4 linked regions of the Cricetulus griseus genome follow. The protein of the gene in region 1 purifies or fractionates together with the protein of each later gene. This does not show direct contact. Links are inferred from orthologs where the notes say so. Each region holds a gene or a part of one and is shown in the gene's direction. Other genes may lie near its edges.

Region 1 (5,120 bases):
GGGCTTTCCTTTCTCGTGTTGCACATCTATTTTGAATAAAAGAACCATGGTGTAGGGCATGGAGACAGCAAAAGGCAAAGTCCTTGCTTTTGCAAAAGTAAGGACCAGAATTCAGTCCCCAGCACCCAGATAAAAGCCAGATGCGATGACTTATGTTTGTAATCCCAGCTCTGGGGAGGTGGAGACAGGAGAGGTGTCTCCTACCCTAGAGCTACCCGTGAGGCCAGCTACCCTAGAGCAGTCTGTGAGTTCCAGGTTCGGTCAGAGACATTGGCTCAAAAAATAAGGTAGAGAACTGATTGGGGAATGACACCCAACAGATGGCCTCTAGCCTCTACACATATGCACCCAAGTACCCAAATACAGGTGCACACATACACACAGAATTTTGGATTGAAACCTGAGGCAGTATGAAAAGGGGATGGATACCTTCATTTTATCAGGTTGGTTCCCTCTCCTACCATTCCTGATGCTTGCTGCCTTTTTTTTTTTCCCCGGCAGTGGGGGGGGGGGTTTGGTTTTTTGAGACAGGGTTTCTCTGTGTAGCTTTGTAGACCAGGTTGGCCTCTGCCAGCCTCTGCTTCCCGAGTGCTGGGATTAAAGGCTGCACCGCCACTGCCTGGCCTTTCTTTGCTTCCTTCTTTCCTTCCTTCCTTCCTTCCTTCCTTCCTTCCTTCCTTCCTTCCTTCCTTCTTATTTATCCATTCATTGTTGCTGTGAACCCAGGTCCCATCATGTTGACTTCACCTTTGAAGGAGAAATGACATAAAAACAGAAGTAGCATCATTAGTGGATTAAAGACTAAAAATAAGAAAAAAATGTAGTATCAATTTAAACCACGATACCATCTTGGCACTTTCTTATAAATTTACACGTGATTACTTATCGTATAACCCAGAAATTTATCCTCTAAGAGAACAACAACCCATGGGCCTTCACAGAACATTGTAAAGAGCTTATAACAGCTAAAAGTAGAGGACCCTGAGTGGATCAGGGAGTTGAGGCTCATCCATGCCATGGCCGTCACTTGGCAACACTCCCCTCAACACAGGAGACAAAGCATCTTAAAGCCAAGTATGAAGCTGAAGAGCTACCTGCTGAGTCAGTTCAGCAGAAACACGGGAAGAAGGGCTGTAGAGTCAGACAGCAGGTCTGTGGTTGCTGGGCATCAGCAGGTAGTAGAGCTGAGGGGACCTTTCCTAACATAGGGTGGTGGCTGTGGTTCCTTGGTTGAATATATTTGGTAAAACGAGTTCAATCAGGCCCTTAGGATTGGCAGCCCTGGTAGCTCCCTGCAAGACATCGAGCGTGGTCCACAACTGGTGAGCATATTCATCAGAAGTGAGCATTTTTCATAGTGCAGCCACAGACCAAGGGAACCCTGGTGTGTTCTTTTCTTACTTTAAGCTTTTTAATTATTTATGTGTGTGTGAGAGTGCACACGGGTATGGACATGCCAGGCACCCGTGTGGACGACCAAGGACAGCTTGGAGGAATCGGTGCTCTCCACCACATGGTCCTGGGGAAGGATGGACTCCGGGTGTCTGGCTTCTTGACAGCGAGTGTCTTTACCACTGAGCCACCTTGCCGTCTCTACCCACATTATACTCTCTTTTGTTCTGTGTCTGTGTTTTTTGGTGACAGGGTCTTTCTATGTCATCCTGGCTGTTCTTGGAACTCACTCTGTAGACCAGGCTGGCCTCAAACTCACTGAGATCCCCAGGCCTCTGCCTCCTAAGTTCTAGGGTTAATAAAGTGCACTACCACGCCTGGTTCTACCCAAATTATATCCTAAGTCCAGTTAGCAAATGTCCTTCCATCATGTCACACAGGGCACCTGACTGCTGCTAGGGTTTTCTTTAATTTTGGTTTGTGAATGTTTTACACACCGGCTCAACAGTTGGTCGTTTGTCATCTTTGACAGGAGTGTGAGACCAAGATTGCACAGGAGATAGCCAGCCTTTCAAAAGAGGACGTTTCCAAAGAAGAAATGAATGAAAACGAGGAAGTTATAAATATCCTGCTTGCCCAGGTAAGCTAAACTCTTTTCATTTCTGAAGTCATTTATTGGCCATTTTCCAAATAGAAGCTCAACTATAGACTTTTTAAACCAGAATTGTAAAGTGACTCCCAAGGACTTACCCTGTGCTGTGTTTGTTGAATTGTTGTGTGGAGGAGAAGCTACCTAGTTTCTTAGTCTTGATCAGTCCACACAAGTTCATGTTGTAGGCATTTTTCTTGATTTACAGGAGAGAATAAAGTTCTGGTTTACTACCTTAAAGATTTTCCGTCTGAGATTTCTTGGAGTGTTACCTCCATACGTAGGTACCCTGAGGCAAAGGAGAGGTGCCTGATAGCCTTTCAGTCCTTATGGGGCATGGCCACGTGGCTCCTCTTTAGAAGGATGCTGAAGCTGTTCCTGCAGCTCCTCATTCCTGCTGACTGCTTTCCAGGGTGGAAGACTTGGATTCGAGCAACAGGGACTCTGTGTGTGATTATCTGTGGAGTTCTTGCTGTCTGTGTCTGGAGGGCATGGCTGATGCCGAGAGGAAGACCTGTGACCTCCCATCCTCCCTCTCTCCCTCTCTCTCTCCCTCTCTCTCTCTCTCTCTCTCTCTCTCTGGTCTGCCTTACATCTGCCGTGAGACCAGCCACACATCATCTCTTGGGCTCTTCTGTTCCTGGTGACCCCTAACCCCGAGAGACAGGGAGTCAGAGTAGACGGGTTTTAGATTGTGTTTATTTATCTGTGTGTATGTGTTGTTCAGGTGTGTATGTTCAGGTGCCTGCTGGGCCAGAAGAGGGTGTTAGATCTCCTTAAGCTGGACTTACATGTTGTTGTGGGTTCTCCAGTGTGAGTGCTGGGAGCTGGGGGGGGGGGGGGGGCGGCGTCTCTGGAAGAAGAGCAAGTACTCCTAACTGCTGAGTACTCTGGTCAGCCCCCAGGAAGCTGAGGCAGGTTGACCTTTGCCCCCTGGTCTTGGGTGGTAGGCTCATAGGGAGAGTCTACATGTTCTCAAAACAGCTTCGTGTAACTCGGCTGATTCTGAGGAAATAGTGTGGCTTTGGTTGAGGTAACTTGTGTTCAGCACTGAGCAGGGTGGGCGACCCTGGAAAGGTGGCGTTTCCTCTACCAGAACTTGGAAGGGTGCTCTGCAATCGTTTCAGGAAAATGAGATCCTGACTGAGCAGGAGGAGCTCCTAGCCATGGAGCAGTTTCTGCGGCGTCAGATCGCCTCGGAGAAGGAGGAGATCGAACGCCTCCGCGCTGAGATCGCCGAGATACAGAGGTAAAGGGGGCGGGCGTTCCGCTGGGTTGTCTAAATGGGGGTAGAATGTTTAAACCCTCCTGCAAACATGTCTGAAACCCATCACCTCAAGCTTCTTACCAAGTCTGAGAACAGCATGGGTGGACCTCAGAGAGCTGGCCACCAAGCCACAGTGAAGTTCCCTTTGTCTTCTCACAGTCGCCAGCAGCACGGCCGGAGTGAGACTGAAGAGTACTCTTCTGAGAGCGAGAGCGAGAGCGAAGACGAGGAGGAGCTGCAGGTCATTCTGGGAGACCTACAGAGGCAGAATGAGGAGCTGGAAGTAAGTTTGGGAGGGCAACAGTCAGAACACAGTTGTTTTTTTTTTTGTTTTTTTTTTTTTCCAAGACAGGGTTTCTCTGTGGCTTTGGATGCTGTCCGGGCACTAGCTCTTGTAGACCAGGCTGGCCTCGAACTCACAGAGATCCGCCTGCCTCTGCCTCCCAAGTGCTGGGATTAAAGGCGTGTGCCACCAACGCCCGGCTGAAACCAGTCATTTTTAATGTGCTCCCGACCACCTATTTTCCCACTGCAGACTTGTAGAGAGGAGGCCAAGTGCATTCTTGCCCAGCCAATTCTTAGCTGCTTGAAGTGTGGTAACCTTGACGTTAGTGTACAAAGGGACCTTTCTCTTTGGAGTCTTTAAAAAGTGGGTGTCCCTGACCCTAGCAGCTCTTCATGGTCTGGTCTTCCCACTGGAGAAGATGGGATGGGATGGTGAAGTGAGGGACAGTTGTCTTGAAGTCCTTGTCACACCTTGTAGTAGGTGTGATAGAAAGCCCCGGGCAGCAGCTTGCTGGGAAGGGAAGGGCTGATGTACGTGATCTCCTTTCTTATCCCCAATTTGTTAGAGGGACAGCTTGCTTCATTCAGTCACTGAACTGACAAGCAAAGCATAGCCATGCCCACATGGGAGTCAAGATTTGCTCAGAAGCTGGGCTTTTAGGGGTTCATGCCTATAATCTTAGCACTAATGAGTGAGGCAGGTAGATTTCTGAGTTAGCAGCCAACCTGGTCCACAGTGATTTCAGGACAGTTGGGCTCAAAAACAACAACAGAAGATATGAAAACAATCATTTTAGGGGACGGAGAGTTGGCTCAGCGGTTAAGAGCCCTGGCAGCTCTTCCAGAGGGCCTAGGTTCAATTCCTGGCATCCACAGGGGACCTGGGTTCAATTCCCAGCACCCACATGGCAGCTCACATCTATACATACATGCAGGCAAAACACCAGTGCACACAAAATAAAAATAAATAAAATTAAAAAGAATCTAAGAATTGCCCAGGATCTCTGCCCAGGACCTCTGCCCATCCACTGCCTGTGTGGAGAGTTGGCAGTGTTAGGGGCGGATACACCTGTTGCAGCAGGAATCTGTCCTTCAGGAAAGGAAAAGGGACCCCTGGAGGTGGCCCTGCAGGTGACCCTGCTGCTGCTCTGAAGCCTGAGGGCCTGACTTAGAAGAAGACAGCTCCCTCCTGCAGGCCAGGCTATCCTCTGATCTCCATGTGGACACACCTGTACCTGTTAAGTGATGCCAGCACTCAGGAGGCAGAGGCAGTAGCTCTCTGTGAGACTGAGACCAGCCTGGTCTACAGAGTGAGACCATGCTTAAAACAAAAGGGGAAGAAGAGCAGGGGTGAGCCATGGGTGGCTGGAGATTCTGTTGTTTAGACCACATTGGCAACTTAGATTAATCTCTCTGTTTTACTGCACAGGGGATGAATGGCAGACTTAGAGTAATGTTTATTGTGCGGATTTCGAGGCCTGTTAATCAGCGCTTTCTCGCTTGGGGCCACAGTGGCTGCTCAGTAGG
Region 2 (5,120 bases), on another chromosome or scaffold:
ATAGTTTCACATTGAAAATGACCAGTGATATTGAACATTTCTTCATGTGCTGGTTAGCCATTTGTGTATTTAATAGCTATTAAAATCTTGTGTCCATTGTTTTTTGTTTGTTTTGGTGTTTTGAGCAAGATTTTTCGGTGATTTATTTGGATTTATTTTTATCTGCATTTTTTTTATCCCTAGACTACTTTCTTCTCTAATGCGATCTGGGTAGGAGAAGACAATAAAAGCAATGCACTATTGCCTGGCCACATTTGTATTGCTAGCTGTTTCCTATGTTAAGACTGGAGGATTATAAGCTCAAGACTATTCTTGGCTATGGAATGATTTTAAGGCTGACCTGGGAAACTTAATGAGACTTGCCTCAAAAGAAAAACAGAAAAACAGGTTGGGGATATAGTTTGGTGGCATAAACACTTGCCTAGAATGCTATGAGACTCTAGGGTCAATCCCCAGCACTGTAAAAAAAAAAAGACTTCTTCTATAGCTTACTATAAGTAATAGGTGGTGAATAGGAAATGACTTTTGGGGGTTTCATTGTAGTGTGGAGAATCACCTATTAGGATAGGAAAGCATGCAATGCCAAGTGGATTTAAGGACATGTTAGCTGCCTTTCAGAAGGAACGGCTAAAATGTAGATGTGGACTATGGATTAGCCTACAGAAAAATGATACTGTATAAATCAAGAAGTGAGAGGGCCTTGTGAGATTTCCTTCTTCCACATTGGAATGTCAACTAGTGTTATCATTGGATTATTTCTAGATGAAAAGCTATAGGAAATGAATGATTGCTAAGAGAGGGACAATCAGTCTTCTCTAGGGACAAGATTCCTGATAGGTTATCCAGTACCAAGTAAGTACTCAGCTCTAAATACATGTACATACAAGCAATTCTAGATGGACTTAGCAGGCTGCATCATATATCCATATGTTCATAAAATAATTGTGAAAGAAGAAGAGGTCATGAGTTTGAAAGGAGTGGAGGACATAGGAGGAGTTGGAGGAAGAGAGTATGTGGTAGAAATGATATAAACACAGCACTTGTATATGAACTTCTCAAGAAATAAAATGAAGGGAAAGATTACTTGGAACATCATGTACACAAAGTAAAACATGGCTATTTCAAGAAATGTGGCCTAAGTTTCTTCTGGATCCTAGAATGTAAACAATATCCATGAATGTATAATTTGGCTACTATTGGTTTAAATGGATTTATTGGGATAGCCTGGGAAATGTTATAATTTTTGCCATTTTCTACACAGAAAATTTTTTCTAGTTCATCACATAACTCAGTGGATATAGGAGCTGTCTGTGTAGTCATTTCTCTGCAGTTATAAACAAAATCTTTTTACTTTAAAATGAGTTAATATATATATATATATTACATTATCTTGTAAAAACGATTTGCTTTTTGTTTTTCAAGACGAGGTTTCTCTGTTTAACCTTGGTTGTCCTGGAACTCACTGTGTAGACCAGACTGGCATCAAACTCCACAGAGATCCATCTGCCTCTGCCTCCTGAGTGCTGGGATTAAAGGTGTGTGCCACCACCCGTCCATAAAAGCAATATTAACACTTAAAGAGTCACCTAGATGTGGATTGTTAGACTTTTGATCAGGTTCCCGCCAAGTACAATTGAAAACCAGAAGCATGGGTTATCTCTGTGGTTGTTTGAGTTCTGAGATGCAGACTAAAGTTCACCATTGGATACCAAATACCTCTATGAATTTAATCACCTTCCTTTGCATTTTAAAATTTATCTCTTAAGTTTCAAATATGTTTAAAATGTATGTAATAACAAAGTGCATTTGGTGACAAGTCATCCTGTCACTTATTTCTCCACCTACCTAGCCATTCTTCCAGAGTTTGCATACAAACATAACACAAATATGAGTAGATATTGTCCTCTAATCACAGTAGAGGCCTTAGAGTACATATTTTCCAGTTTTGGGGTAGACCAATATAATTTCACATGTTTATGATGTTTTGATACACGTATAGAGGTTTACACACACAGATTGTGAAGCAGTTAACCACAGTCAAAGCCACATAGTTCCCCCATCACCTCACACTGTGGCTTGGTTTCAGTAGATATTTAAGATCTTCTCTTTGTGAAAATTTTAAGCATACTATATATTGCTATAGTTAGAGTACATATTTGTGGAGCTTATTGGAAATTTATAGTTAGTAAACTTTACACTATTTTAAAACAATTCATATGTGACCAGTTTGTGTATTCAACTTATTAGAACTTTACTCATCTATGAGTCAGGAGTATTTTTTGAGACAGGGTCTCTCTATCCAGCCCTGACTGTCCTGAAACTTGAGTTGTAGACCAGACTGGCTTCAAACTCACGGAGATCTGCTTGCCTCTGCCTCCCGAGTACTGGGATTAAAGGTGTGTGCAACTGTGCTCAGCTTTAGGGGCATTTTTTATTTGCCCATCAGTAAGTTTTTTAATTCTTTCACAAGGAGGCTGAATATCACTACAGATCCTGGCAGATATTCCCACTATGGGTTCATTATCATACCCTCTTTGCATGAAAAAGTTTATAAAGGGCAGGTTAGTGATGGTTGACTAGACAAATTTTACAAAACAAACAAACAAACAAAAACTCTGGTTGAATCCTACTCAAGATTCAAATTTAATGGAAGATTCAATAATATGCCTTAATATGAATCTCCATGTTTCTCAAACCTATTTCTTTCCTCTATGTATATAAACATTTTAGTGCACGTTTACTTCATCAGGAAACCAAATTAATAAAATAGTATTAAATGTTAGGACTTACTGAAGACATAAATTTTGACATGAACTATAACCTTTAAGACATATATTCATGTGTGCTTATCACTTGATTTTTATTTCAAACCATATAATTAATTTTCTTTTCCAAGAAGACATCTGCTAAAGACATGGCTGACTTTCCTGTTCCTACCCAAGATGTGACTACTGGTGATGACAAACAAGGTATGAAAAGAATTAGTTTTATTCTTATAGGCATACCTTCCTATATTTCCTCATCTATTTCTCCTGGAACAGCTTCCAAATCATATGAGGCAGTGCTCAGAATGTACACTCATTTGGATAGATTGTGTAGTTTAAACTGTTGTCAGAAGCCTGTAATTCACAAGTTGTAGTATGAGCTTCAGTTTCTGAGTCCCCTTAATTCATTGGTCATTGTTAATCTTAGGGTACTTTGACACCTTACATTGGATTCTGGTCCCATAGTTAGGAAATAAGAAGAATTGGACGATTAATATCTAGTGTTGGTATAAATGATTTGAAAAAATAAACTACCATAAATGTACATTTGCATACAGGTCTAATCCATGAAGAAGTTCGTTCTTTCATACAGTGTGTCAATCCTAAAGCTTTATGTATTTCTCATTGTTCCAGTGGTTATGGAGGTGTGATATGGAGCCTGGTTTCAATATCCTTGTTTTACTGGGTAGCTGAGAAGGCATGCAGCATAGTGTTCAGTGCTAGAGATACCCTCAGGCATGGGGATTAATTTGCCTGCAGTATCCAGAAGTGCAGGCAGGACCCTATCCTCTGAACCCTGTACTTTGTGTGATCCTTTTGTAATTTACCAAGTCCTTCCTCACATACTGTCTTTTTACAGACCTCACAAAACTAATGTTTTTGAAATCACTTAACATTTAGAAATAAGCAACTGAGCTCAGACAGGCAGCATGAATCATCTACTTGTACAAGAAGAAAAAGAACTGGGACAGGAACCAAGATTTTCTGTCTTAAGCCAGTATTCCATCTGTTATATCAATTCACCACTCACAAGTGGGAGAAGCCTGTCTGAAGGGAAGCCATTTCAGGTTTTATTGTTGAGCCCTGCCATTAATTCAGCCTCACAGAGACATTAAACATGAAAAAGGTTTCCATTAAGCACTGATGGTGTCTTGCTTTCTATTTAAATGTTTGTTTAGGAAATTCAAGTGGAGCTAGACATTATCTGCTGTTGATCACTTTACTAACTTGTGAATTTTGTGTTGGCTGCAAAGCTCTAAGAATATTGAAGCTTGGGTTTAAATTCCAAGCATTCTCTCATCATTGATTTGGCTGTTAGGAAGGAAAGTGGGAGAAATTTGGGATGCTTTTTGGTAATACTCCTCCTAACCACTAGTGGCTGTCTCTTTAGAAAGTTGAAAATAGTTTTTCCTTCTGTAGGTGGAGACCCTGTTTCCATGCTCTATGAGGTTTATTCTAGAAATTCTATAGCAACTTCTAGAGGGTTGTAACACTTTTATAACTGATGGATAGGGATTATTTGTTTTAATATCTTTTATCCCAGAAATAAAAATTTAAAAGGCCTTTGTTTTCTTTTTCTTCTCCTTTCTCTTTCTTCTTCCTTAAACATGAAACAAAATACTACTAGCTTTGAAAAGTACTGTTAATGAACCCTTACCAAAGGACGTGGCTGAGGATACAGGTAGGAGAAAACCATTTTAATGTATTCGCTGTCTAATCATTTCTAAATTAAAAAACCTCAGCTGTTTGGTAACTTGAAGATTATTATGTCTGTGATAGTGTGTCTGTTCGTTTCTCTAGAACCTTGGCTTGTATTTTGTTACAAGAAGCCTTAGATGTTCCACCATTTCCCTCTCTTCAGAAAAGGCTGACTTTAGATTTCACTCAGTTTGAATTTAGAAGTATAAAATTAGGACACCTTAGAATTTCAGTGATTCAGATAAACTCCTATGCTTTCTTTGTAAAGTAAGGAGCTCATAAGGTGAATTAACCTGAAGCCCACAGTTGGTATTTTCCATTACCAAAGTGTTAATCTTAAATATCTTTATACCTCTTCCCTACCAAGAAGCTACTTGTTAAACATGGAGTAGATTCCAAGCAGAAGAAAAGTAGAAGTTGTGCTGGTCCATTTCTGGGAGAAGTAGAAATGTGACTGGGAAACCATAGAGAATGTCTGGGCCTGGGTTTCCGAACATATTTTATTTATTTATTTATTTATTTATTTATTTATTTATTTATTTATTTAAGAGGAGGTGGTGTGTGTGTGTGTGTGTGTGTGTGTGTGTGTGTGTGTGTGTGTGTGCGTGCGTGCGTGCGTGTGTGCGCGTGCCTGTGCCTGTACCTTATGTGTGTACA
Region 3 (5,120 bases), on another chromosome or scaffold:
CCAAGGCAAAGTGTTTCCCTTGAAGTGTTTCCCTCTAGTGTGGTGGCTTCAGACTCTCAGGTCTTACCATTAAAGACTTTGCTCCATTTTGAGTTGATTTTTGTACAAGTTTCATTCTACCTGTGGGTATCCAGCTTTCTCAGTACTATCTGCTAAAGAGGCTGTCCCTTCTCCAGTGTATATTTTTGTGTCTTTCTCAAAAAGTCAGGTAGTTACATGGATTTAATCTTGCCTCTGCCTATTTTATCAATGTGCCATGATGTTTTTATGACTGTGACTCAGTAGTATAACTTGAAATCGGACATGGTGACACTGTGAACTCTGTTCCTTTTGTTCGAATTGCTTTGCTTCTCTGGAGTCCTTTGTGCTTGTCTCTCAATTTTTGGATTCCCCGCTCCCATGTCTATGAAGAATACCTTTGGAATTTTGATGAGGACTGCAAATACCATTATAGGAATTCTGCTTATTCATGCCGATGGGAACTTCTTCCATCTTCTGGGGTCTTTATCAAATTTCTTTTCTTCAGAGTTTTAAATTTTATCATCGTCGTTGAGGTCTTTAACTTCTTGGTTTAGTTTTATTCCTAGGTTTTTAATTCCATGATTTATTCCTTGCCAGGGTTGGTATATAGAAAGTCTGAGTTTTTAGATGTTGATTTTTGTACCTTGTTACTTTTCTGAAAGTGTTTATCTGATTTAAGGGTTTTCACATGGAGTCCTTGGGATTATTTTGTGTAACAAATAGTATATACAAATAGGAGTTGTTCAATTTCTTCCTCTCTTTATTCATATCAATTTTATTTTTGTCTGCTTTCTCCTAGCTAAGGCTTCATGGACATACTTGAGTAAGTGGGCATCCTTGTCACAGTCCTGCTGTGGGTAGCATTGCTTTGAGACTTTCCTATTCAATATGATGTTGGCCATCAGGTTGCTGCATATATCCTTTATTATGTTGAGCTATACCCCTCCTATCCATGGTTTCCTTGGGTCTTTTGTTGTAAAAGGATGTTGGACTATGGAAATGGTGAAGCAGTTTCCACTAGGAGACTGCTGATATAGTTATTGACATGAGTGTGTTGAGCCATCCTTGCATTCTTGAAATCAAACTGACTGGGTCATGGCAAATGCTCTTCTTGATGTATAGTCAATCCCATTTACAAGCTTTTTTAGTGGGAATTTTTGAATCTATGCCCAGAAGAAAGATGGTCCTCTAATTTGCTGTTGTTAGTCCTGACCTGGTTTTGGAATCAGGAATACTGGCTATGTGAACTGAATGTGGCTGTGTTCTTCTCTTTGCTACTTTCTGGCGTATGTTGAAGAACTTTGGTGTTGCTTCTCTAGATGTCTGGTGGAACTCAGCATCGAGTTCTCTGGGCCTGGACTTCTAAAATTGTATTTAGTTGGGTTACTAAGTCAATCTCATTGCTTGAGATGGACTCTGTCTGAGCTCTTAGTGGCTTATGTCTTCTCAGTTTAGTTCTGATTAGTTGTGTGTGTTTCAAAGTGTATCCATTTCTTGTAGACTTGCAATATTTTAGAGTGTAGGTTTTCACACTGTACCCTAATGGCCCTTTGAATCTGATTGGTGTCTGTCTCTGTGTGTGTTTGGCTAAAGCTCTGTCAAACTTATCTTTTCAAAGGACCAACACTTTGTTTCATTGGTTATTATTATTAGTTGTTATTTCCATTTCATTAGCCTCTGTCCTGATCTTGGTATTTCTATTTATTGAGTTTTGAATTTGGCATTCTCTCTCTCTCTCTCTCTCTCTCTCTCTCTCTCTCTCTCTCTCTCTCTCTCTCTCTCTCTCTCTCTCTTACCTCTTTATCCTCGGGTTCTGATACTCTGTTGTTTTCACTGAATTCTGGGAATTTTTAATTTCCCTCCTGGCTTCTTCCATGACCTGTTATCATTTGGTGCTGTGTTATTTATTCTCCGTGACCTTTTGTGTTCTCTCTTCAGCTTTGCTCCAGTGTGAACAGGTAGAATGCAAGCAGTTAGTTAAACTTTCTTAATTACTTGCTAAGACTTGCTTTGTTCCTAAGATGTGATCCATTTTGGAGAAGGGTCCAAAGGCTCCCGATAAGAATGCGTATCCTGCACTGTTTTGAGTGGAATCATCTAAGGTGTCTGTTCCATTTCATCTGTGATATCTGACTGATGTTTCTTTGTTAGTTCTTTCGGTCTGGATGGCCTGTTGCTTGGTGAGCATGGGAACTGAAGTCTCCCTTATTACTGCTTAAGTCTGTGTCTTTACACCCCATGGTAATTATTTATGAAACCAATACATCCTCTTTACCTCTCCTGACTTAACTCTCAATTGAAGTCTACTTTGTTAGATGTTTCATCAGCGATACCTACTTGCTTTCAAGTTCCATCAGCTTAGAATATCTTCTCCTCCCTCTTACCACCTCAGGAGGCACAACCCAGGGCTTCGTGCATGCTGGGCAAGTACTGTGCCAGCTGAGCTGCATCCCCAGCCCTGCTTTTATTCTTCCATAAGTTATTCCAGGTACAATGAAGTTGCCTAGTTCAGTACCACTCTGCATCCCAGGACAGATAACGGAAGTGGTGGATCTCAGAGAAAGCAAACTTCAGACACTTCAGACCACTTAAAGGGGGGTGGTATTAACCACATGCCTGCATGTACAGTACAAAGAAAGGTCCTACCTGGTTTTACCATGGTGGGCTGTTTTAAAGAAGAGACGAAGACAAAGAGGCAGGCATATGATTTAGCTGTCAGTCAGGCTCCATTAACCTGCTGGGATTAGCGCCAGGGCTGACAGTACTCTGGGATGAAAGTACATGCCTGTTTAGCTTTAAAGCCAGGGAGGACGGTTTGACAGGAAGTCTGTCAAGCAGAAATTCCCTCCCATCAGCACCCTGGACTTGGATCACGGAGTGAAAGCCGATGGTCCCAATGATCACACTTGAGCATGTTCGGGGCTGACGTGACTTTTAAAAGTCAGGTGGAAGCTTAGACTCAGCACAGTGTGGCTGAGCGTGACCTGCCGAAGGTGCTTAGCACTGGTATCTTCTTCTGTTAAGTTCTAATGTGTGACTATCCATTAGCAGAGACTGCCTTGTGACTGTATGACACTCAACCCCAGGGAGCATATGTGTCTTTAAACTTAATGGGATAGCTTAAATATTGGTGAGCTTATTTGGTATTGGGTTTCAAATAGAAAAGTAAGCATAAATAAATGTCTGTGCTTCTGGGGTCACTGTGATGTGTGGCATGGCTATGACAGGCCTCTGGGGGTGGTGAGGTCTGTCAAACTGGAGCAGTTTGACTCAGGAGTCCTCACTAGAAATGTCCCCTGGGTACAGCCTCGCCAACTGCCTGGATTTTAACCTCAAGTTGTGCATTCACACCGTTTCTACTAAGATGTCTTCTAGGGACCACTTGAACACGGGTGTTTCAACTCCCTCTTCCTCTCTTCTTTTAGGTATTTTAATGAGATGTCTGCACAAGGACTAAGACCTCGCACTGTGTCCAGCCCAATCCCTTACACGCCTTCTCCCAGTTCAAGCAGACCTATATCACCCGGTGAGTGTGTCCTCCGCTACCGCAGTGTAGCTGTTTTCCGGTGGATTTTCGGGGAGTGGGGACTGGGCCTCACATGGGTTTAGCTGAGTCCTCCCCACCAATTTTCAGCTAGCTCTTCTGATACGTTTTATCGGCAGCCCTGGTTATGTTCCCCTCTATTTTGTGTTTTTTGTTTGTTTGTTTGTTTTTTCAAAAATAAGTCACCGTCCGTACTTAAACACAAGGACTGCGTGCTTTGTTTTGTTTGCTGCTATTATTTTATTATTTAGTGTTTTATTTTTCAACTTTTATTTTTAAGGACTTCACACCATCTGTCTGCCTCTTCTTCAGTATCCGCTGAGCTTTAAATGTGGATTCATTTTAAACCTAAATTTGATCTCAAAACTACTCCTTTCTGAAAGAAGACTGTGAGTCTTCTTTCAGTCTCAGGGGATGGGCAGGATTCCTGGGTAGACTTCCCAGATGCTCTACCGTGCGTCTTCTGTGGGGCTCCTTCACTGCATTCCCACTACGTTCATATCACTTTTGTTCTCAGTGATACTGTAGGCATCCTTCTTCCTGTTTTAAAATTGGAGAAGCTAATGGGGGATGGTCCTTCTGTGTACGTGTTTCTCTTATTGGTTGATGAATAAAACACTGTTTGGTGAATAGAGTCAGGAAGATAGGCGGGGCAAGGAGATGCGGAGAATTCTGGGAAAGGTAGGTAGAGGGAGCCCGCCAAAAAGAGAACCAACCACAAGATAGGACGCGCCAGGTATTCTCCAGTAAGATAAGGCCATGAAGAAATACATATATTCATAGTAATGGTTTAATAATTAAGACAGAGCTAGCCAGTAAGAAGCCCTAATCATCGGCCAACAGCTTTAGAACTAATACAGCGTCTGTGTGCTTATTTGGGGCTGAATGGGCAGCGGGACCTGGCAGGACAAGAAACAGCCATTCGTGACTTACCATCTCTTGAGTCATCGGGCCGGTGAAGAGGCCAGGGTGGGCTTCCTTGTCCAAAACCAGTGTTCCTCCCAGCCTGAGCTGCCTTCTGATACTTGAGTGATTTGTGAGCGAGGCCTGGAAGACCAGGAAGAAACAAGGCAGCTGTTCCTCTTCTCCTTTGATATTCAGGGCTTTTCTTTCCTGGCATGCTTTTATTCATCTGACCCCCAAAATACTCCTCAGTGTCCTGGGCCCAGCACCAGCACTGCTTGGGACTCCCATGTTGGTGGACAAGTACATGATCCATCCCATAAGGATGAGGATGAGGAGGTGAGGCAGAGGGTGGGTGCCAGGAGTATCAGGCAGAAGGTAGAGTCTGACACACTGCTAGCTGATGAACAAGCTACAGGTAGAGTTGAGGGACAAGTCTGTCGGTGGTGCCAGGCTGGAGGAGTAGCACCATAGGGGTGGCCTTGCAAAGGGTTTGTTAGGACTGTGGTTTGTTTTGTCTGAGGTCATGATTAAAACAAGGATTTCCCTTAAGGTTGTTAAAGGGGATATGATGCTCTAGAGCCACTGCAGTTAGGACAGTGTGGTAGAAATGTCTTGGCTTTATCAGTTTGGGCCCTGGCCAGCACGACAG
Region 4 (5,120 bases), on another chromosome or scaffold:
TGTGCATTTACCTTGCTTGACTTTTTATTTTTCTGTTTTTCCATTTTCAACATCTATCATTTGGTTCCACAATGTATCTGCCTCGGTTGACCATTAAATGTTCCAAAAAGCTCTGACCCAGCCTCCACATTAATTCTAAATTTTATGCTTTTCTAGGTCTCCAGAGAGAGCCCAGTCCTTGTCCTGTAATTACTGTAGAGCACTTTAAAGAACCCGTGGGTGCCAAAGGCCTCGCCCTCTATCCAGATCCCTGCAGAGTTCCTGGAACAAAGACCCAGAACACCTTAGAATCTGACTCCCTGACCCGAGAGGGGCCTTCCAGCAATAGCTCCTTCCACAGCAGTGAGGAGGAGGGCACCGACCTGGAGGGGGACGTGCTGGACTGCAGCGGGTCTCGGCCTCTCCTTCTGGAGTCTGAAGAGGAGGATGAGAGCTGCAGGCCTCCCCAGGAGAAGCTGGCAGAAGCCACTCTGTTCTCTGAACCTGGAGTGTCTGCTAACCCAGAAAAGGGGGGACAAGGCGGGAAAAAGAGCCAGTTCTTGCCAGTCAACCAGCAGGCCTCAGATGGTCTCGGAGAGCCTGATGTCTTTGCCACAGCCCCCTTCAGGAGCTCTCTGGTTCCAGCAGATGACATGGACATTTTCTCCAAAGCCCCTTTTGTCTCCAAGGGCAGTTTAGCTCCTTCCCAGACAGAGGAGGTGGACGTGTTCTCCAGAGCTCCTTTTACCAAGAAGAGGAGTGTGGAGGAGTTACTGGCCGTACAGGGCTCCTCACAGGATTTGCCAGTGCAGGCCGGCCTCAGTCAGCCTGGTGAAGGGCCCCTGCTTCCAGGCCTCGATAGAGCTATGTACACCCCTGCCCAGACGCAGGGTGTCTTTACGCAGCAGGCTGGTCTCCCTTCCCACTCTGTCCAGGTGGCAGACCATTTTGACAGCAGCTCTCCCAGAGGTTCTCCCATGGAATCTGGGAGTAATCCCAGTGACAGAAACAGAGGCCTGCAGCCCCAGAAAGAAGCCTTTTCTGGGCCGGTGGCTGGCAAGCAATTCCGCCCCCAGGCTTTGTCCAAATATTCCCGACACTATAGCCCAGAAGATGAGTCAAGTCCAGAAGCCCAGCCCATCGCTGCCTACAAGATTGTTTCACAAAGCAATAAGCAGTTGCTGGCTGGCTCTGTGTCTGTCACATCTCTGTCCTCCAGGACTACAGAGCTGCCCGCTGCTGACCCTTTTGCTTTAGCGCCCTTCCCTTCAAAAGCAGGCAAACAGAAACCCTAGGAGCAGAGGCCCAGCCTGAGGCCTGTCTCTACCTACCCCACCAGCACCCATCACACCACTCCTGGCAGGCCTTCCAGGGAGTATCCACTGTGACCTTGTAGTTCCCTGCCTCAGAGCAGAATCACTTCAAGGCAACTAGCAAGGTTGCTCTTTATGTTACACTTCCTTTTTTTGTTTAAACTCTTTTCTGGACTTGTAGGTATTTCTGGTCCTTCACATAGGCCTTCCACCTGCAGTCAGAATTCTGGTTCTTTCCTGCCCAGAAACCTTTTTAATCAAGGAATATTTTACCCCCAGTTACCAGAGGCTGTATTACACCACAACTTTGAATGCCTGCAGCTCCTATTGGGAGTCACTTGAAGAGTCAAGATGAATTCTCTCCAAGACTTGACAATACTCTTGGAACAGAGAGATTTCTAGAAAAAAAAAAAAGAGCAATATAAACCTACTGCACGTCTAAAGAAGTTAATCCTTTTGCCACACTCATCTTTCATTCTTGTGGAGCCAGCAGCTCTCAAAGGATCTTTCACTGATTCCATATGAGCCTAGCTGGCCCTTGTGCACAAATGTCTGGGTGCATGATGTGGCTCAGATTCTCTGTCTTGTAAAAGAGCACACAGGTGGAAAAAGCTCACTCTGCCTTCCCATGGTCCACTTTTTAGACTAGTATGGATACGTGTGTGTGTGTGTGTGTGTGTGTGTGTGTGTGTGTGTGTGTGTGTGTGTACAAGAAACATTTTCCTTTGAGTGAAACCACCATGCCTACCTCCATTATCAAATCATTTTCTTATGTTTGCCTGTTGACCTGACTTGAACCTTGGCTTTATTTGGATGTTTTTCTCATGGTAAAATTGAAGTTGTTAGACCGTATGGGGCAATCCTGCTGGAACTGAGGTTTCAGAGTAGATTTTTAAAATTCCATTTACCTGGTTTTGAAAACTCACATTTCCCAAAATGGACATGGTAGCTCATACCTGTAGCTCTTAGGAAACTATGACAGGAGGACTGCCACAAGTTAGAGGCTAGCCTGGCCTTAATACTGAATTCCAAGCCACCATATCTCAACACCCTCTCCTACTCAAAAAAGTCACTGGTCCTTTTTTTTTTTTTTTCTGTGGCAACAGGGGAAGAATGTCTTTAGAGTTCCAGTCACTGGAAATCCTTCCTGGGTATCATTATTATGAAATTCATTCATAATGTACCTAAGCTACAAGCCAAGTTTGCCTGCACCCAACCCCCACCTCTTCCCATACATGTCTGTTGCCTCTTGAGTGGGTACAAACCTGATACCTAGGAGTAAGCTGAAAATGAAAAAGAACTGGTCAGCTGTCCTTACAGATCTTTAAATTGTCTGTTCCGTTCAGATGCTAAAGTAGAACAGACAGGTGACTGGCTGTGTTTTCAGAAGTGTGTTTTTATTTCTGGAAAGCTCTGACTCATTCCTAGTGTTCTCATATTCTCCATTTTTAGAGCCTTAAAAGAAAACTTGTGACTCCACCGGGAGGTTTCTGTTGAGGAAGTTGAGTTTAATGGAAAGAGTCTGTACCAAATTCCGTGCATACTTACAGCTTCTAGCATACAGTTCCTCTACGTGCTTGGGGGAAGTGTGGAGAGTTGTGCACCAAACTAGATTAGTGATATAAAAATGACTAGAAGCCAGGCATGGTAGCACACTCCTGTTAGCAGGGCACTTAGGGGGTGCAGGCTCAAGGCCAGCCTAGATTACATGAGACACTGTCCCAAAAAATAAAAGAAGAATTACCTAAAATCCATCCAGTCATGAAGCCTAAATGCCAGGCTGCACGTGCACTCAATTAGTTGTGATGTCCTTTTGAGTTTGAAAGTTAGGATTTGGCTGTACAACTCTGTGGAAGAATACATGCTTTGCATGCACCATGTTCTGGGTTCCGTCCTTGTCACACACAAAAAAATGATAAAACCCAAGACTCTGGACGGTAACATAAGAGTGGTTACTTTCTGCTGGGTGTGGTGGCAGGCACCTTAATCCTAGAACATATAAGGCAGAAACAGGTGGATTTGTGTGAGTGTGAGGCCAGCCTTGTGTGCATAGCAAGTTCCAGGACAGCCAGTGAGTGAAAGCCTGTCTTAGGAGGGGAAAAAGGGAGCTATTTTCAGTACTTTTCTTTTTGGTGTTCTACACCTGTTTAAATAACAGGCATATATCATCCTCCCTCCTCCCCACCCCCAGCAGTGGTTGCCAAGTGAGGACTCCACTAGAAACCTGCCTTTCACTTCAGTAAACTATTCTCTCTAGGAATTTGATTTCTCAAAGTTATTATTTTTGAAATTTTTATACTAGTGGATACAAACTGGTCTTTCTGTTAAATGAGTAGTTTGGCTAATGTACATGGAACTTTGCAACCAAACTTCCCATGCTTCTTGTCAGGTGAAGTCCTCCAAGTCATGTGCAAAAAGGATGGGAATGTTCAGAGTCCTCCCTTGATGTCACAGACTCTTGCCGGATTGCAGCATACACCTGTAGTCCCAGCTACTTAGAAGGCTGGGCAGAAGGACAGCTTGAGCCCAGGATCTCAAGGCCAGCTTTGGCAACATACAAGGACCCATCTCTTGAATAGAAATTTGAGAATGCAATGTCAACATCAGCTATGTAACAGTGCTGCAAACTGCTGTAACTTTGATCACTGTATCACTCCATCTAATTAAATAGTCATTATAATTCACAAGGTCCAAATTAGGATAAAATCATGGACTCTTTATTTTATATAGTTGAATCATTTGATCATTTGTGAAGTATGGGCTTTCGGGCCTGTTTTTATCTACTGAGTGGAAAGTCTATCTACCATCTTTGAATAGGAAATGAATGTGACCACATGCAATTTTTTTTTTTTTTTTTAATGCGGCAGTTAGTGAAGGAAATCTGACAAGAGACTAGCTGACAGATGAGTTCTGAAGGAAGTGCTGTGGAAGAGTGTGGATTACAGGATCAGTGGGTAAGATCCAGTGTCCTGGTGGGAGGCCATCCTGAGTGGATATTTGGAAGTTTGTTTTACAGGTAATTAGGAGTGCTGAAAGTCTATGAACCAATAGCCGGTTCCCAGTGACCGTACTCTAACAGTTTTTTTTAGTAAGGAAGGGGAAACATTGTCAACAAAGTCCTGCACTTTGTTTTAATTTCTGCTGTGTGTTAGTTGCTTTGTATATTTCATAGGAAACACAGGAGACTGTCAACTTTTGACTCAGTAGAAAGAGATGAGTCAGAATATCCTTAGACAAAGCCTTAAGCCTATCATGTACTAATGAACTCCTGAATGATGTGCTAGGCTGGGGACATAGCTCAGAGAGGGAACTTGGCATAGGTGAAGCCGTGAGCTCTTCCCTGTTAGCTGACTAATGAGCACTGTTAACAGAGTTAACTTCTGTGTAATGGAAAATGTCTCACCAATTTCTTAGGCTTACAATACAGCTCTTTAGCACCAAGTCCATGGTTAGCGCCAAAACAAATGAAATAAAATAATGAAATGAATATCTGTGGCAGGCACACCTATGATCCCAGAGGCAAGAGAATTGTGAGTTCAAGACCAGCCTGGGCAGCTTAGCAAGATTTTAATATTGAAATTTCAAGAGGGTTGGTTTTGTATTTAGGTGGTAGAATGCTTACCCAGCATGTGCAACCATTGGATTTAATTAACTATGGTAGTGGGAGACAGAGAGCCATAGATGGGTCTATCATGAGCAATCTAGTCAGGAAAGTGAACAGAAGCTGGAGATGGAATGCAGATTTTAGTTCATACAGGCTGTCTTGGTTCACTTGTGAGATTGAAGGCCTGTACACTGTCACACGCCTCAGGGTGTGTATGTGTGTGT

What was found.
Region 2: the proteins of Ralbp1 (region 1) and Reps2 purify together in Homo sapiens (affinity purification with mass spectrometry; 3 studies listed by BioGRID and IntAct, counting the BioPlex papers as one, with this or other methods). This does not show direct contact. The link is inferred for Cricetulus griseus from reciprocal best matches to the Homo sapiens genes RALBP1 and REPS2.
Region 3: the proteins of Ralbp1 (region 1) and Ccdc6 purify together in Homo sapiens (affinity purification with mass spectrometry; 3 studies listed by BioGRID and IntAct, counting the BioPlex papers as one, with this or other methods). This does not show direct contact. The link is inferred for Cricetulus griseus from reciprocal best matches to the Homo sapiens genes RALBP1 and CCDC6.
Region 4: the proteins of Ralbp1 (region 1) and Aak1 purify together in Homo sapiens (affinity purification with mass spectrometry; 3 studies listed by BioGRID and IntAct, counting the BioPlex papers as one, with this or other methods). This does not show direct contact. The link is inferred for Cricetulus griseus from reciprocal best matches to the Homo sapiens genes RALBP1 and AAK1.

The regions. Positions count from the first base shown.
Region 1 is NC_048595.1:454,797,581-454,802,700, reverse strand, and holds part of Ralbp1 (ralA-binding protein 1), read left to right. Parts: intron 1-1,924; coding exon 1,925-2,032; intron 2,033-3,168; coding exon 3,169-3,290; intron 3,291-3,467; coding exon 3,468-3,591; intron 3,592-5,120. UniProt on the Homo sapiens protein: Multifunctional protein that functions as a downstream effector of RALA and RALB. As a GTPase-activating protein/GAP can inactivate CDC42 and RAC1 by stimulating their GTPase activity.
Region 2 is NC_048604.1:97,396,412-97,401,531, reverse strand, and holds part of Reps2 (ralBP1-associated Eps domain-containing protein 2), read left to right. Parts: intron 1-2,896; coding exon 2,897-2,969; intron 2,970-4,392; coding exon 4,393-4,446; intron 4,447-5,120. UniProt on the Homo sapiens protein: Involved in ligand-dependent receptor mediated endocytosis of the EGF and insulin receptors as part of the Ral signaling pathway. By controlling growth factor receptors endocytosis may regulate cell survival.
Region 3 is NW_023276806.1:267,503,429-267,508,548, reverse strand, and holds part of Ccdc6 (coiled-coil domain-containing protein 6), read left to right. Parts: intron 1-3,446; coding exon 3,447-3,547; intron 3,548-5,120.
Region 4 is NC_048601.1:58,729,393-58,734,512, forward strand, and holds part of Aak1 (AP2-associated protein kinase 1), read left to right. Parts: intron 1-156; coding exon 157-1,274; 3' UTR 1,275-5,120.